4 linked regions of the Drosophila melanogaster genome follow. The protein of the gene in region 2 interacts with the protein of the main gene of each other region in a pairwise test. Each region holds a gene or a part of one and is shown on either strand. Other genes may lie near its edges.

Evidence for each region.
Region 1: the proteins of Bet1 (region 2) and CG34198 interact in a two-hybrid assay, tested with the Drosophila melanogaster proteins (one large-scale study listed by BioGRID).
Region 3: the proteins of Bet1 (region 2) and Tim17b2 interact in a two-hybrid assay, tested with the Drosophila melanogaster proteins (one large-scale study listed by BioGRID).
Region 4: the proteins of Bet1 (region 2) and CG13795 interact in a two-hybrid assay, tested with the Drosophila melanogaster proteins (one large-scale study listed by BioGRID).

What each region holds. Positions count from the first base shown.
Region 1 is NT_033778.4:19,681,911-19,684,994, reverse strand, and holds CG34198 (uncharacterized protein), read left to right. Parts: upstream 1-2,017; 5' UTR 2,018-2,095; coding exon 2,096-2,275; 3' UTR 2,276-2,549; downstream 2,550-3,084.
Region 2 is NT_037436.4:19,259,411-19,263,007, forward strand, and holds Bet1 (blocked early in transport 1), read left to right. Parts: upstream 1-1,983; 5' UTR 1,984-2,245; intron 2,246-2,302; 5' UTR 2,303-2,339; coding exon 2,340-2,693; 3' UTR 2,694-3,027; downstream 3,028-3,597. Other genes in the region: nes (nessy), read right to left, coding at 1-158, 705-813; Max, read right to left, coding at 3,466-3,597.
Region 3 is NT_033779.5:15,483,093-15,486,101, forward strand, and holds Tim17b2 (translocase inner membrane 17), read left to right. Parts: upstream 1-1,636; 5' UTR 1,637-1,744; coding exon 1,745-2,275; 3' UTR 2,276-2,453; downstream 2,454-3,009.
Region 4 is NT_033779.5:7,722,518-7,728,107, reverse strand, and holds CG13795 (uncharacterized protein), read left to right. Parts: upstream 1-1,809; 5' UTR 1,810-2,012; coding exon 2,013-2,175; intron 2,176-2,441; coding exon 2,442-2,573; intron 2,574-2,634; coding exon 2,635-2,798; intron 2,799-2,858; coding exon 2,859-2,947; intron 2,948-3,063; coding exon 3,064-3,533; intron 3,534-3,590; coding exon 3,591-3,739; intron 3,740-3,806; coding exon 3,807-3,935; intron 3,936-4,004; coding exon 4,005-4,211; intron 4,212-4,270; coding exon 4,271-4,552; 3' UTR 4,553-5,063; downstream 5,064-5,590. Other genes in the region: CG13796 (uncharacterized protein), read left to right, coding at 1-12, 73-279, 351-611; CG13794 (uncharacterized protein), read left to right, coding at 5,463-5,590.

The sequences.
Region 1 (3,084 bases), on a different chromosome or scaffold from region 2:
GCCGTACTTGGCAAAGTTTTTGGCCTTCATCCTGCCGCTTGCCACTTTTTTAACAACCACCCACATGGCACGCCTACCCACCTGCCAGCTATTGCCTACCTGGTTTGGTAGCCTCGGCTCGGCTTTTGTCTTATCAAAGTTTTTGGCGCGCATGTGTTTATGCCACAAATGGCACTTTTGCGGCAGCGCATTTTATTTTTTACTGCCACTTTTCGCCATTTTGCTTTATCATTTTTATATATATTATATGTGTCTATACAGAAACAGTGCCAATAGGCTTGGTTCTGACCAAAGTTCAACCTACCATTGTTGCATTTGGACAACACTGCGTATACTCTATTTATAAACCCGAACAGTGGATTTAAATTTGTTCTAATTGAAATATTTTCATGGCTTGTAATAAGGAAACTTATTTGCCTGATTTGTAATATTTTTAATGGATTCTTTGCCTTTACTGCAGTTCTTAACTGTTGCTTTACACTGGTTAAAACAACAGTGCTCCCACTTCCCCTTTCCGGTTTTAAACAACCCTCCCAATAATAAATCTGCGTGAACCCCATTAACCCTTTAGTTATGTTCTTGGAGTCGGAGGAAAGTAACGACTCTATTAGTAGAGGAATTTAAATTGCCGCCTAGTTCGTTTTTATTATCCTCGAGGAGGGAATGGAACCTCCGGCGTAAGGTGCGCAAGCCAACTAATGACCCTGTATTTATATGACAGGGGAAAGTTTATAAATATTTATGGGGTGCTGCTGTTGCTTACTGTTGTTGCTGGCTTTCATCAAGCTAAAACTCATTTGCTTATTTTAAAATTCCGAGCAGGCGTAGTTTCATTTTTGACACCCGGCATTCGTCGCCGGTCCCCCAAAACCGATGTTCCCCATCCGTTCCTTTTTTAGGGATCTGCCGCACGTTGTTGCCATTGTCACGCACACACGTACTATATTTTTTACGCGCATATCATATTACACCCTCCAAACACACAGGGACATTCCCTTGCCTTAAAGGACCCTCCGACCAACCGACCAGCCAACCAACCAACCCCTTTCCCAACTGGGGATGCTACGGGGATCCATCGAGGTTTGGGGACCCAGTCGAAGTAAATAGAATCACGTACACTAATTATCATCGCCATTGCACGAAGGGCGCTCAAAAATATATATTTTTATTAATTTCAGCAAGGTAACGCCGCTCTAAAAGCCAACCAACCACCTTACACATACCCCATCTGCGGTGTTGGGTGAAAATTTTAATTGAGATCTCCGCTATTTGATAGCAACGAGGAACTATTCGCCCGAAATTGATGTGGCCGCTGATGCTGATGGGGCCACTCGAATGGTTGGTTTTGAATGCAAAATGCGTCGTCGGATATAGTTTTGAGTGCTCAGATAAGGTGGCATATATAATTAGCTGCCCCATTTGGCATTATGCGACATTTGTGTGTTTCAAGTTTCCCCCGATAGTTTGTGTAATGTGAGTCATTCATTTGATAAAGTCATAGGGGAATGAGAGTGCCGAACACGAGTTTAATTAAAGTGCTAATCTGACTCCAAGTAAAAGTAAATAACAAAGAATAGAGTATAAGATAAAAAATATAAAAATATAACCAAATATATAGACATCTTAGGGCTTGGAAAATGATGATGACGTTGTTTGTTGAATTGCAAGAAAAATAAACATCAGATAATACAGTATACAGCAAACCCGATAAAAATTATCAGTATATTATCAGATTTTGCATAACTTGTAAGTTACAAGAAAGGCCTTTGTTTATTTGAACAACAACGCTTGAATGCAGCGAATTCATAAATAAAATCATGTAATAAATAACCTATCGATTTTGTAGTTTTCTATCATAAAGCTGGTTAGACAACCAAGGTGGGACCCCAACGAATCGCTAGGTACTTCACACAAATCGCTGGCCACTGATAAGAGTTCCAGTTGCTTTTATCTATAGATAACACCCATAGCAGAGATTGCCGAGAGCGCGGCTATAATAGCACAATCCCAACAATATGACCAGTGCCGAACTAAACGCGTGCGGTGCAACAAGTACATTTTATAATTGAAAACAACCGGATTACAACCAATCGAAATGGACCACAGAACTCGCGTTGTGGAGGTGGTGCAAGTGCCACCCCAACCCTCGACCACGGTGATCGTGCAACCTCCTCCGCCGCCGCCTCCTCCCAAGGATAACAGTTGCTGTTGTTGTCCTTGCTGCCCCTGTTGCTGTCAGTGTGGCGAATGCTGTTGCTGCTGCACCATCATGTGAAAGACGAAGGTGCCCGCAGGCAAAGGACCTCAGAACCCCTAATTCGTTACGTTAAATTAACTTTCTATGTCTATGGAGGCCGCAAACAATTCACACAGTTTTTTCGTGCAATAAAATTTTACGATTCGTTATAAATAACTCTGTGTAGGGCTCACACTGTGGTTGCCATTTTTTTTGTGGCGAAGGGAACACGCTTGGTAACATATTGTCTTACATAAATCCCAATGCGAAAGTACCACAATATAATAAAAAGCCAAATTTAATAACATCCCACAAAAATTTGTAGTTTTATGATGCGCGAGCAGGGGGACAATCCTTTTTGGCTGCTGGAAATGCTCACCACATCATTTCAAAGTTAGTTCACATTCCGAGTTATTATTTATATGTTTCTCAATTTGCCAATAAAAGCGGAAAATGTGTCAAGAGTGCTGCCAACTCCGGTTCCAGGCCCATGCTGCTCTCATTTGATAAAGGATTTTATGACTCTTGGCTCTTGAATTGCAACCGCAGCGTCGGAGCTCTCGCCCCAAATATTTTGACGAGGGTCCCCAAAGTGGGACATTATGTGGGCGGGAGTCGGACAACGAATGCGAGTGCCTTTTTCCAAAGTTAGTAGTCTGCTCATTTAACATAATTTCTGACTCGCAATGCTTCTTTGCCAAACGTTTATCTAAAGCCCAAACCTTATTACTCATACGCACTGTGATAATTCAGACGGAAAACCGTGGTATTGATATCGAAGTGAACAGGCTGAAAAAATCCCATAGTTTAACAGAGTAGGAAAATTTAACACTTTTAACCTGTTTTCC
Region 2 (3,597 bases):
GAAATAGGTGGTTAGGATGGCTATCAGTGAGTGATATGTGTCGAGCCCATAGTTAAAGTAACACAATCCAGCGCCGCATCCAGCAAAGAACATGTGATGCACTGTTTTATCGGCAATAACAGAAATAAATTTTTGATATAATGCTGCCACCGGATAACCTGAAACAAATTATATACATTAGTTGGATTGATTTAGCAATACAAAGTTTAAATCATGTAGTAAACATTTTCAACTAATTTGGAAGCTTCAACGATTCTTTCACGTTTAGTTAACGTTTTTGCATAGCCTGACTGTAATCAAATTCCTATCTAATAGGAATGAGTCACATTTTTATGGAATTTTGGGAGTCATGGTAAAATTTTAAAGGGGTTTGTAATTTATTTAGGAACATTGTTAAGCATTAAATCTTATTGTTACTAAGCAGTTTGTGAAAAAGTTCATTTAACGATACATTTCAATTAAAACCATGCAAGTTGTATATGACCACTGACAAAAAAAAAATCAAAAATAACACAGTCTTCAATGATAGGTACATAATTTATAAACACCTGTGCAAACATATGTATAACGTATATGTGCAATGAATTTGCGTGATATGCGGATATAAATATCCGGAGAAAATATCTTAACTTAATCACTTGACTTTAAGATACTTCGAGTATTCAGTGTCCCTACCAAAAAGCACTGCTGCTGGGGCATCTTACCTGCCAGAATGGTGAGTAGCAGCCGGAGTGCCTCCACGGGAACGCCCACTCCCGAGGCGATCCCGTCCATCAGGCCATTGTGGGGCAAGTCCTCCTCGAATTCCGCCATGCTAAATCTAGAAGAGAAAAGAGTTGCAGTGCTATCAGTGAACTCTACTCGCGTGATTCGGATTCGCTGGGTTATTGCGCTCCAGTCCTTATCACGCCGTAATTGTTGCTGTTGTCATTGGCGCATATTACGCAAACTGATTGTTTTTTGATCATCAAAGGAGTGCGTCAAGGGGCAAGGGGGAGGCTGATTAAGAAAAGAGGAAGAGCAACAGCAACAACAAACGAGTGCACTTGGTCAGGGTCAATGAAAATTCAAATGCAAAGGTCGCATTATCTCGGCGAACCAGTGAACTCGATAATGACGCACTTGCCACCGCACGAACTTGAATATTTTATGCTTATTGATTTCACGGCCAGTTGATGAAAGCGAGCGGGAGCAACAAAATCGAGAGCGGCATGCCAAATTATGGCCAAAATTACCTAAAGTTAAGTTACTAACACTGGAGCAGTGTGGCCGTAGGCGAGAGCACGGAAATTACCCGACTCTAACAGTAATAGGCACACGGATTAACCCACTGTTTCTAACATTTAAAAGTAGTACTTAGGATCCACATATAACCATATATGTTTTTACTATCTACTAAAAACATGCTTTATTTATATTTGATTAAATTTGTTTGCATATTAAAACGAACTGCTAATAACAGTATTTTATGCATTGTTATTAAATAATTCTTTGACATATTTTACATATGTCCCATATTTTTATGAATATATTTTATTTATTTTATTTGAAATAATTACAAATAATGTTTGAATTGCCTAATTACTATTTAATTAATATTAAACTAATATTGTTTTTGCATTATATATAATAAACTAATAATTCTTACACATAATATGTGTAATAATAACTGTACGTACCATATTTTAATGAACACCTAAATATAATACAAATTTTTTTTTAGCGGCGATGGTGAAACTGTGGAATTTTGAACATGGGGACGATTTTTATTTATTTATTTTTTAGTTATTTGGAGGTGAATTTTTGCCGACCGCCGACTGTCTCGTTGTCTGTCCCGATTTCCCTAATCAAATTTTTATGAAATCTTAAAACAATATATATATATATATATAGTAAGTTTTGGAAACTTATAGAAAGAACTTACGATATTAAAAGCGTATTGGCAAGCAATGGGTTAATTGAAAATCGTAATCTCTGCCACACGCATTGCTACGGAATAATTTTGCTACTCCGCTTTGGTCACACTGCTCGGCGACTAAAAATTGAATTGCATGAGAATTTAAAAAGTTTCGTTTAATAAGTAGAGGCATTAGTCAACCGATTCTGGAAATCACAACACGAGGTCAAGGGTCAATGCACAGTCAACCACAAAGGTTGAGCCAAGAAGCGTATATCCCAACAGCTGTTCTGCCGCTGGGTGAGATTACATGTTTACGTTTACGTGTCACTTCGAAAACTGAGATTTGTGAGCATTGTATTAATTTATAATTAATTAATTTCGTTAAATTCACCCGATCCGCAGCAATCCGGATGCCAAACTGGCACACTCGGGGAGCAGTATGCGCCGCAACAACTACCCGTACCAGCCCCTAAACCAGCACCCTTCAGGGCCCCATCCTGCGAGCCACGACGCCTTGGAGGCGGAAAACGAGCAGGCGGCGGAGGAGTTGAAGCAGAAGATCGGGGCCCTGAAGTCCCTCACCATCGATATAGGCAATGAGGTGCGCTACCAGGACAAGCTGCTGCGCGGCATCGACGACGACATGGACCGGACGAGTGGATTTCTGGGCAACGCGATGACGCGGGTGGTGCGACTGGCCAAACAGGGCGGTGGTGCTCGCCAAATGTGCTACATGTTCCTCTTCATCCTCGTCGTGTTCTTAATCCTCTGGATAACCCTAAAGTTTAAGTAGTTGTTGGTAATTTTATAAAATATATACCCACATATTTGTATGGTTTAGTGTAGTCGAAGGTTGTATTTGGTTCGGAATGCGGTTCACTTTTGGCTTAAAACCATAAAGTTAAATATATTTCTTAAGTTCAAACCAATATTAGAAAGACAGATACGTACGTTAAAGTTTTTTCAGCTCGTTCTTTATAGTTCTCGAGTAATAAGCAAAAGGAGATTCCAGATATAAATAAGGGAAGGTTCCAGTATCAAGTGATCAAATTACTTGCAAAAATTGCTGATTTTATTTAGCCCTAATCGCATAAAATGTCAATCCTTTTATCATTTATAAACTTCTTCAAAAGCAGCACTCATGTTACTCAATTGGTCCGTTATATTTTCCAATTTCCATAATAGAATTCATCAACAAGAAGCCCCTGTTTTTTTCTAAAAATATGTACTTACTAGTTTACTTTATTCTTTGCGCACAGAGTGACAATTTGTTGAAAGTAGAAAAGACGCACGCATACAAATTAAGGTCGATTGGGTGGGTTACATTTTGGGCTTACAGCTAATGATGATTATGATTATCGGACTTGTTACTGTTCTCATTTCCACATAATTTTAATTTTCACTTTAATTCGAATTTGGAACCGTTTCCTTCACAACTTTTCGAGGGCTATTGCTTTCGTATAACACAACTCAAAGTTGAACTAAATCCACGTAAGAATTCAGAATGTCGGTGAAAACGGAAGCCGGAACACGCCTGTAAGCAGCACTTTGGATTGGATCAGCGGCTATGCGTGGAAGGTCTTCATCTTTTTATTGCGTCTACTGAAGTCCTGGTCGAGGTCTTCGTCGTCGGCCTCCTCGCTGCCCACTTCCTCGTCGCTGAGAAATTCGCTGAACTGATCCCCATTTGAACTCTC
Region 3 (3,009 bases), on a different chromosome or scaffold from region 2:
GCGGGCAAATGAGTTCCGTTCTGGATTCCCTTTGTAGTGGGTTATGCAGATGCATATTCCTTAAGATATAACAAAATGTTGCATCACAGCTGCCCAAACACTGGCCTCTAACGGAGCATTCGGAGATCGGAAGATGGAAAACGGAACCGTTTTAGAGATCATATCTGTTCGATATTATAATTTTTGAGTTTTTACTGTTTACATAATCATTATTGTTTTAAAAAACATTGCCACAATAGATTACCAAACCTGCATTTCTGTAGCGTACATTGTGGAGCTCGATTTACAGTTGTAGAATGCTGTTCTTAAAATTTTGAATATGGTTTTAAATTGTTCTGTATCCAAAGACAACTGCAGTTTTTTTAATTTCACATAATACGTTGGTATTTTAACAACAAATAATGTTAATAAAATTACTAAATGGGCTAGTAGGCCAATTCCATTTGGCCTGTGACTTCCCAGAAAACTGTAAGGCTCGAATCTCCGGAATTCGTGGGAAACCCATGGTCGGATCGCGTCCTAGAACGGAATGGCCAATCCTTTCGCATAATGTGCCCACATTAACACCACATCGATCTAATCCCATCTAAATCATTTATAAGCGACAACAATTACCGTGGAAATGAAGATTTCATTGGAAATCCCGCAGCAGTGGCAAACAATATGCCCAGTATTTACATTTACAAATTATATATAATGTCTTATCCTGCAGCCATTTCCCGTCAAATGATCCCCGATAACCTTCTCGGGAGTGAGAGCAATCAATCGAGTGCAACACGTTCTAACGATTTACATGTCAAGTTGACGAGATTTGTCCTGTTGAACAATGGACTGGCGCTTCGTGTGTGTCCAGGTGTCCCCTCATACTTAAATGCCTGCCCATCGATTTCGGTTTCGATCGGGGTTTCGCTTTCATTTGTCACTGCTGTCTGACACCTTGTTATGCGGAGATATCCATCGAGGGCCCGAATGCGAAGACTTCCCCCTTTTTCGAGCTAAGCAAACACAGTTGCGGCAGTTTCAAAATTTCGATTATGCTCGCGTGATAATTATGCATGCAATCGTAAGCTTCCCTCCTGAAGTAGTTTGACATACGCAGTATAAAATAGTATTGGGTCTGGAGTTCTGGTTTGGTTCGGCTTGGCTTTATCGGTCGACGACAATCGGTCTCATTGTTTCCGTTTCCCACCGTCTGGCTTTGCCTTTGTACGAATTGCGTCTTTCGAATGGCCCCATCCCCATCCCAATCCGAATCCCAATCCCCCGTCCCCTCCCCATTCTCGAGCCGAAGTTGTCCAGCTGCGGCAGTAAATTTTATGGTTAACTACGGTCCGACATTTGTGCTATTTAACCTTTTTGTGCCATTGAGCTTCGGGGCAAAAGATCCCCGATCCACGTGCGACTCTGTTTGCTCTGACTCTGGTTCATATGCTAATGGGTGTCTGGTGGGGGCACAAACAAAACCAAGTACTTCTTACTTACAACCTGTAGTTTGAAATTTGAGTTCCTGGACATGTTCTCCATGATTTTAAATCTACTAGGTATGTAGCAAGCTTAGTCGCACAATTCACAACAAACTCTGGAATTGACAGACACAAAACTCATAATTTCCTTATACATATCGAGCGACGCCAAGTCACATATAACTCATTTGTAGAAAATAAGCAGAAGGCTTGAAATTTAGCAAATTCAGTTTTTAATTTCGGCCAGTGATAGGAAATCCTGCCAGTGGAAAAGTGCAAAGATGGAGGAGTATTCGCGGGAACCGTGTCCCCATCGCATCGTCGACGACTGCGGAGGAGCCTTTATCATGGGCTGCGTTGGAGGCGGGCTCTTCCAGGGACTCAAGGGATTCCGGAACGCACCACAGGGACTAGGACGCAGGGTCGCCGGCAGTGTGGCTGCCATCAAGACCAAATCTCCGGTGATAGGTGGAAGTTTCGCCGCCTGGGGTGCAGTGTTCAGCATTGTGGACTGCAGTCTGGTCCACTTTCGCCAAAAGGAGGATCCCTGGAACTCGATAGTGAGCGGAGCAGTTACTGGTGGAATTCTGGCCTCACGCAATGGAGCGGCGGCCATGGCTGGAAGTGCAATTATCGGTGGCGTACTGCTCTCAATGATCGAGGGCTTAGGCATATTTTTTACACGTTTCGCGGCGGAACAGTTCCGAAATCGTGAACCGCATATCATGCCTGATGCCAATGAAGGATACGGTGACTTCAACTCTTCCGGATTTGGATTTCCGGGTGCTCAGCAGGCCACTGCAACTAGCTAAATTCCGATTTTTCTTGTCTGGGTATATTAATACGTAGTCCTTTTTGATTTTCATAAGTGCTAGATTTAGCAATATTCCATTTGAAAAATTCGATGACAATAAAATATGGACAAAATTGCAGTATTTCCATTTAAGCTGTTTTTGCAAAGGAACCAATTTATTAAATTTCAAACAATTTAACACGGATTTATAATTATTAAAATACAATTAGCTGCCGTTTGCAGCTCGTTTTGGAAGAAGGAACAAATGCAATTGGCCCTCTTATCGTTCTCCGTGTTAATTCATTCGTATTCATAATCATTATTGCCTCAACAGGTAGTAGGTTGTTTCACACTTGCCCGAATCCACGACAAAGACACCTGACACGTGTCATAGGTCAGCGTGAGATATTGGCAAATGTTTACCTGTTCCAGATGACTACCTGCGATGCTGCGCCGGCGCATAGAGTCAAGTGTCCGGTCGGCGGGTGTGGCCACTTTACAACCTGTCCACTCGAGATGACCGCGGTGTTCTGGCCATTAGACTGAGTGAGGTACTGAGTGGCACTGGCTACCGGCCACATGTCCTGCTCCTAGCTGGAAAGTCTCGAGCGCACTCAAATCAGAACTTTTCCCCCGCAAGGCAAAAAACCAAAGGCAACGCCGATTTCCCAGCAACACATGGACGGTGGGAAGATGGGAAGTCGAGCCCAGTTATAAAATCGTGGGAAAACGCCGCCTACAAGGAAATCCCTT
Region 4 (5,590 bases), on a different chromosome or scaffold from region 2:
TTTTGTACTCAGGTGAGTTTAAATTCTTTTCATTTCTGAGAGCATACTGTAATACATAATTATCCATTTCAGTTGGGCTTTAGTCAGCTGACTCAGCTGCCAAATTTGGCAGTGTTTACACACTTGCTTATTTCGGGAATCCTTGTGCTGATGACCACTTGGGTTTATGGACGCGTTCGTTTCCAGTGCGACTTGCAGTTTATGTTAGGCAAAACGATCTCAAGTTTCAAAATTTTCTTTATACGCTTTGCCACGCCCATTTTTCTGGGACTGTGTCTGGTGAGTAGTGGTTATTATTATAAAATTATTTGTATATAGTTAATGACTGATATTATTGGAATTTCTTGCAGTTTCAACTAACCTATTTATTTACGCGTGATCGCATACACGATGTCCTGATTTATGTGAGTCAGGGCTTGATTCTCCTAACGGCCATATCTTATATGGTTTACAAGGTATGTCGGACGAATGGCGATTGGCGCCAGCGATTGCAACAGTGCCTCGCACCACATGACTGGCATCCGGTGGATGCGGACAACCGGCGATTCTACGAGGAAATCATGGGCATCTCGGAGATGCTGGTTATAGATGCCAATGCCAACACCACATAGTGCCTAAATATCGAATACTCCCTAGATCAAAACTCAATACTTACAGCGTCGTCACTTGACAAATGAACTGAACTGAACTCACTTTTATTATACACCCATATGCGGTCACATTCACACATGCAAAAAATACAATAACAAACACGCACACTAGTATATAAATAAGCGGATCCATTGGCAATGGCGATTGTTAGTTGTTGTAATGAAGTTGTACTGATATTTTCCAAAAGCTAGCTATAGTGAACAATATACTGGTGATATTTAGTAGTTTCCTACTAAAATGTTCAACAAGCTTCGGCCAAAAATATTGTTATGAACTAATAAAATTTTACCTTTTAGGCATTGAAAATGTTGAAGTCTTTTTTTGAAGTTGGTAAACGTATAAGGAAAAGAGTTAAATTTATGATATACGGCTGTCAGCACTTTAAACTATTTAATGTCGCACTAATAATAATAATAATTTTGGAATTTTAGTTATAGAATATATGACGTTTAGAGTAGATTGTTAGAAGCATGTTTTTAAATGCATGCAAAATAATAATAGTTTGAAAAATATATGAGGTAATTGTATATTATTACCTAAAACTAATCGCTAATAACAAACAAACATAAGAAAAAACAAATATTAAGACATTATCAATGCGTTATTGAAATCAACAGCCAGGGCGTTATGGGGTTTACTTGCTTTTGCATTGCTGTCTGAGTTTTCCCCCAGATTTGATAACTTTGCGGCTGTCTTGTTTGTCATCCCATTTCCCGAGCACGACCATATCAGTTTCCAGTTCCAAAATCGAAATGAACTTGGCAATGCACGACGATAGGCGCACATAAGAGAGACAGGCACAGATATAAGAGCTCTAATAATCTGAATTTAAAGCAAAATAACAATAAATGCAAATTTATGGTCGAGATCGGAAATACACTTACAAAACGTGTAATAACAAATTTACAATTATTTTGATAACCGAAAGCTTGAAACTATAGATAACTCGCTTAGATATATATTTTCCTAGCATATCTTTATTTTGACAACAGATCTGTTTGAAATTAGAGGGAGGTTTCAAATGAATCTCGGTATAAAGATACCCCACTTCCATAGTAATAACTGTGTGATTAAAGACCAAGTGTGCATCGCCTAAGTTGGGGTATCTCATTCAAGAGGGATGAGCTAAACAGAGGCCTGCTGTCGGAATCGGATTCAGTTTGCCGGCATCGGTTCTACTAATTAGTCCGTCAATTTAGAGTAAAACGCTCGCGGATCGGTTGCAGAAAAAAAATATATATATACTAATATTACCTCTGCGGGAGTGTAAAATTAGATCGTAGTTATATATACTTATTTACAAAATTTGCTTAAATCCATTCTCGCCCACATTTTGGCGGTAATATTGTGGGTAGTTCAACATGGTATATGAAACATCGTATGATACCGGGCATAAACCCTTTTCCCCCGATCTGAATCGAGGAAAATGGGATAAGCCAACGGACTTTATGTTCGCCTGCTTTGGATTAGCCTTGAAGTTGGATGTCTTTGTGGCATCGTTTTGGATGTTCTTCGACATGGGCAGTAAGTAACGCAAGGGCGACTACGTATATTATATTGCTGATAAGGTTCGGATTTAGACTAATCTGTGGAGGGGCGGTGCTCTGCTAATGTTCTCTTACCTTCTCATCTGACATACATACAAAACAATGCCTAATTCTGTCGATATTTATGTATTTAATGTAATAATTGTGTCTCTTTATACAGCACAAGAGATAACAGTTTATACATCAGAATTTAATCTTTATCTTTGAATGCATTTATTTAAATACACTATTTGCTTGGACCAGTTCTTGGAATACTGCCGTACTTTGTATATATGTCCATTTACTTGGTTCCCATCATGGTCATTCACTCCTTCATGGGTCAGTTCTCCAGCAGTGGATTCATCTCCGCCTTTCGCCTGTCGCCTTTCTTTAAAGGTACGTACGTAACCGAGAAGTTTAAACAGATATTAAATATTGATCGAAATATCAATTTCAGGCATGGGATATGTGAGTGGATTTTTAACTATCTCCATGCTAATTTACTATAGCATTTTTGCTGCGGTTCCACTTCTGTTCATAATAAACTCATTTCGACCCACTTTACCTTGGAGCTGTGAGGGCTTGAGTTCTTGGCACAATGGAAGTGCAACGCTATCTAGTGTATGAAATTTGTGTATGACTAAATTGAATTGAAGACTAAGTACATTTTTTATATTTAAGTCTTGTAATAAGACACTGATCTTGGAGGACTTTTCGGAATACAACAGATCTCACCAGCTGCTCCATGTACCATCCGTGCTCTATTTTCAGTAAGTGCTCCTATTTATATAGCAATAAAACATTACCTAATTAATCCAATGCAAATATTTTAATATTATTTTAAGAATTGTTTAAAAATAATTTCTTTTTAACTCTATGTTTACAGAAATCACTATGATAGCATGCAACAGGATGCGGTTCCGGATTGGTATAAGGATTACGAGTTGTCTTGGCATTTTGTTGGCCTATTCGCAATCATTTGGGTTGTGATTGCATTTATTTTTTATAAATTCTCAGAGACGGCCAAGTTTGGAAAACTTATACGCTACATGGTGATTGTTACCCTGGTTCTTCTTTTAGTGTGCTTTGTGCGATTCCTGTTCCTTCCGGGAGCTCTTAACGGGCTCCACAGATATGTGACTCCAAAGGCAAGTGACATGGCCATGGGAGTAGTGTCCACATTCATCATGGTTCTTCATGCATTCGGAGCTGGTTGGGGCAGTGTAATAACTCTGTCCAGTTTCAACGGTTTCAAGACTGACATCATGTCGTATAGTTGGATTATTTCCTTTGGACAGATCTTCATTTATATCATGTTTGGCATGGTTTCCTTTATGCTGGAACACTACTTTAATGGTAATAGCACTTTATAGATTTGCAATATCTTTACTGTATTGAAGTTATCCCTTTCAGAACTATCCGATGTTGATGATAACGGACATGTTTTGAGCCATTGGCTGCTATATTTGTCAAGTGCTTCTGCCTTGTCCACAATGGCTTGGCCAAACCTATGGACTTTTATATACTATTCTATGCTTTTAATTGCTGCTCTAATTGTGATGGTGATGATAATCTACACAATTAATTTTTATTTTTCACGCTACTAAACTTAAATAATTTTATTTTCAGACGACGCAAATCTTCACGGTTTTGCAAAGTTTGTTTGATGAGTTCGAAGTACTTAGAGTGAGAAAACAAGAGGTGACCTTTGGGCTAATTGGAGGTATTGCACTCTGCTCCTTTTACTTTTGCACCAATGTAAGTACTTAAGTTTACACAAAAAAGATATATTATTAAGAAATATTTTAAACAATTTTCCGTTTCTAGCATGGCATTATTTTCTTTTCGGCCTTGGGTCTTGATGCCATTTTCTCACATAGTTTGCTGCACTTACTGCTCCTTTTGGTGGTTTTGTGGATCTATGGTCGCGAACGATTCCAGCGAGATATTGAGTTCATGTTGGGCCAGCCCTTTGCCTCCTGGAAGGTTTTCATACTCCGCTTTATAGCTCCAATAATTTTAGTCATTTGTCTGGTTAGTTAGTTAGTTAGTTGCTTGTTGCTTTGAATAATCATATTCTTTTAACTAACTAGCTCGCGGGAATTGCTCTGTCCATATCGGAGCACTCTTATTCCACAACAGTGGTCTTCGTGATGTCAATTGTCCTCGTGGTTTTGCCCATTCTGGCCATTCCTGGATATGGATTTTACTACCTCTACCAGAGCACGGGCACCTTTTGCGAACGCTTTAAACGCACCTGCCGACCCACCGATTGGTATCCGGTTGAGATGGAGCACCGCCAGCAGTACGAGGAAGCTGTGGACAACACGGAGATGACCCACCAACTCTTCGAGGTTACTGAGGAGGTCAACTAGTTACTGATGCACTTAGAAATGTACTAAATATAAATATATGAGTAATTTTAATGCGTATTTAAAAAAAGGTATGCATATATATACAATCATATTGTGAAAGGTGGAAATGCTACACTTATTGCACTATGCTTACAGCAATGGGTTTTACAGCGTTTATCTCACCTGAATCGATCAGGTTCACACGTGTGACTGTCCAGAGAAACGTAGATATCTCGGAAAAGTTAATAAAGTTGAGCTTAAAAAATCTGTGACGTCCACAATTATAATGCTTACATAGTTTGTCTATCGAGAGAGAGAGAGAGCTTTTAAAAACGTGTAATTATTAATGTAGTTATTGATTAATTATGGTTATAAGCAAAGTACTCTTATTGACGTCATGTTAGTGTATAGAAATGCCTTTTAATTTCAGAATGCCACTTCGGTGACTCACTACTTTTAGGAACGGTATTAGTTTCATTGAGATGTTTGTTTTAACATATCCAAATTAATATACATCATATTACATTAAATTATTAGGGATCTTCTTACTGTCTGTTTGAACTTGTTCACATTACATAGTATTACAAAGTAATACCGACTATTTATTCAAAAAATTATGCTTAACATTATTTCTTAAAAGTGTATTTGATGGCCGATCTAGTGTGAATGGTCCGGGATAGGCTATGAGCATCTCAGTCCAGTGGAATCAGCTACACTGCGGTTTATCAGCGGAATCGGATTTAGTTCGTCCGCATCGCTGCTACTAATTAGTTCGTCAATTTAAAACGCTCGCGAAATGTTTGTTGTTTGCCAAAGCTTTTAATAATAAGTACCTCCATCGGCGTGTGAAATTGGATATATTTCTTTTTATACAAAAGTTTTTCAAATTCCTTTGCTCACACAATTTACCGGGCTATACTAACGTCACAAAATGATATATGAAACATCGTATGATAGTGGGCACAAACCCTTTTCCCCCGACTTGAAGAGAGGAAAGTGGGATAAGCCCACCGACTATATATTTGCCTGCTTTGGATTAGCCCTTAAACTGGATATATT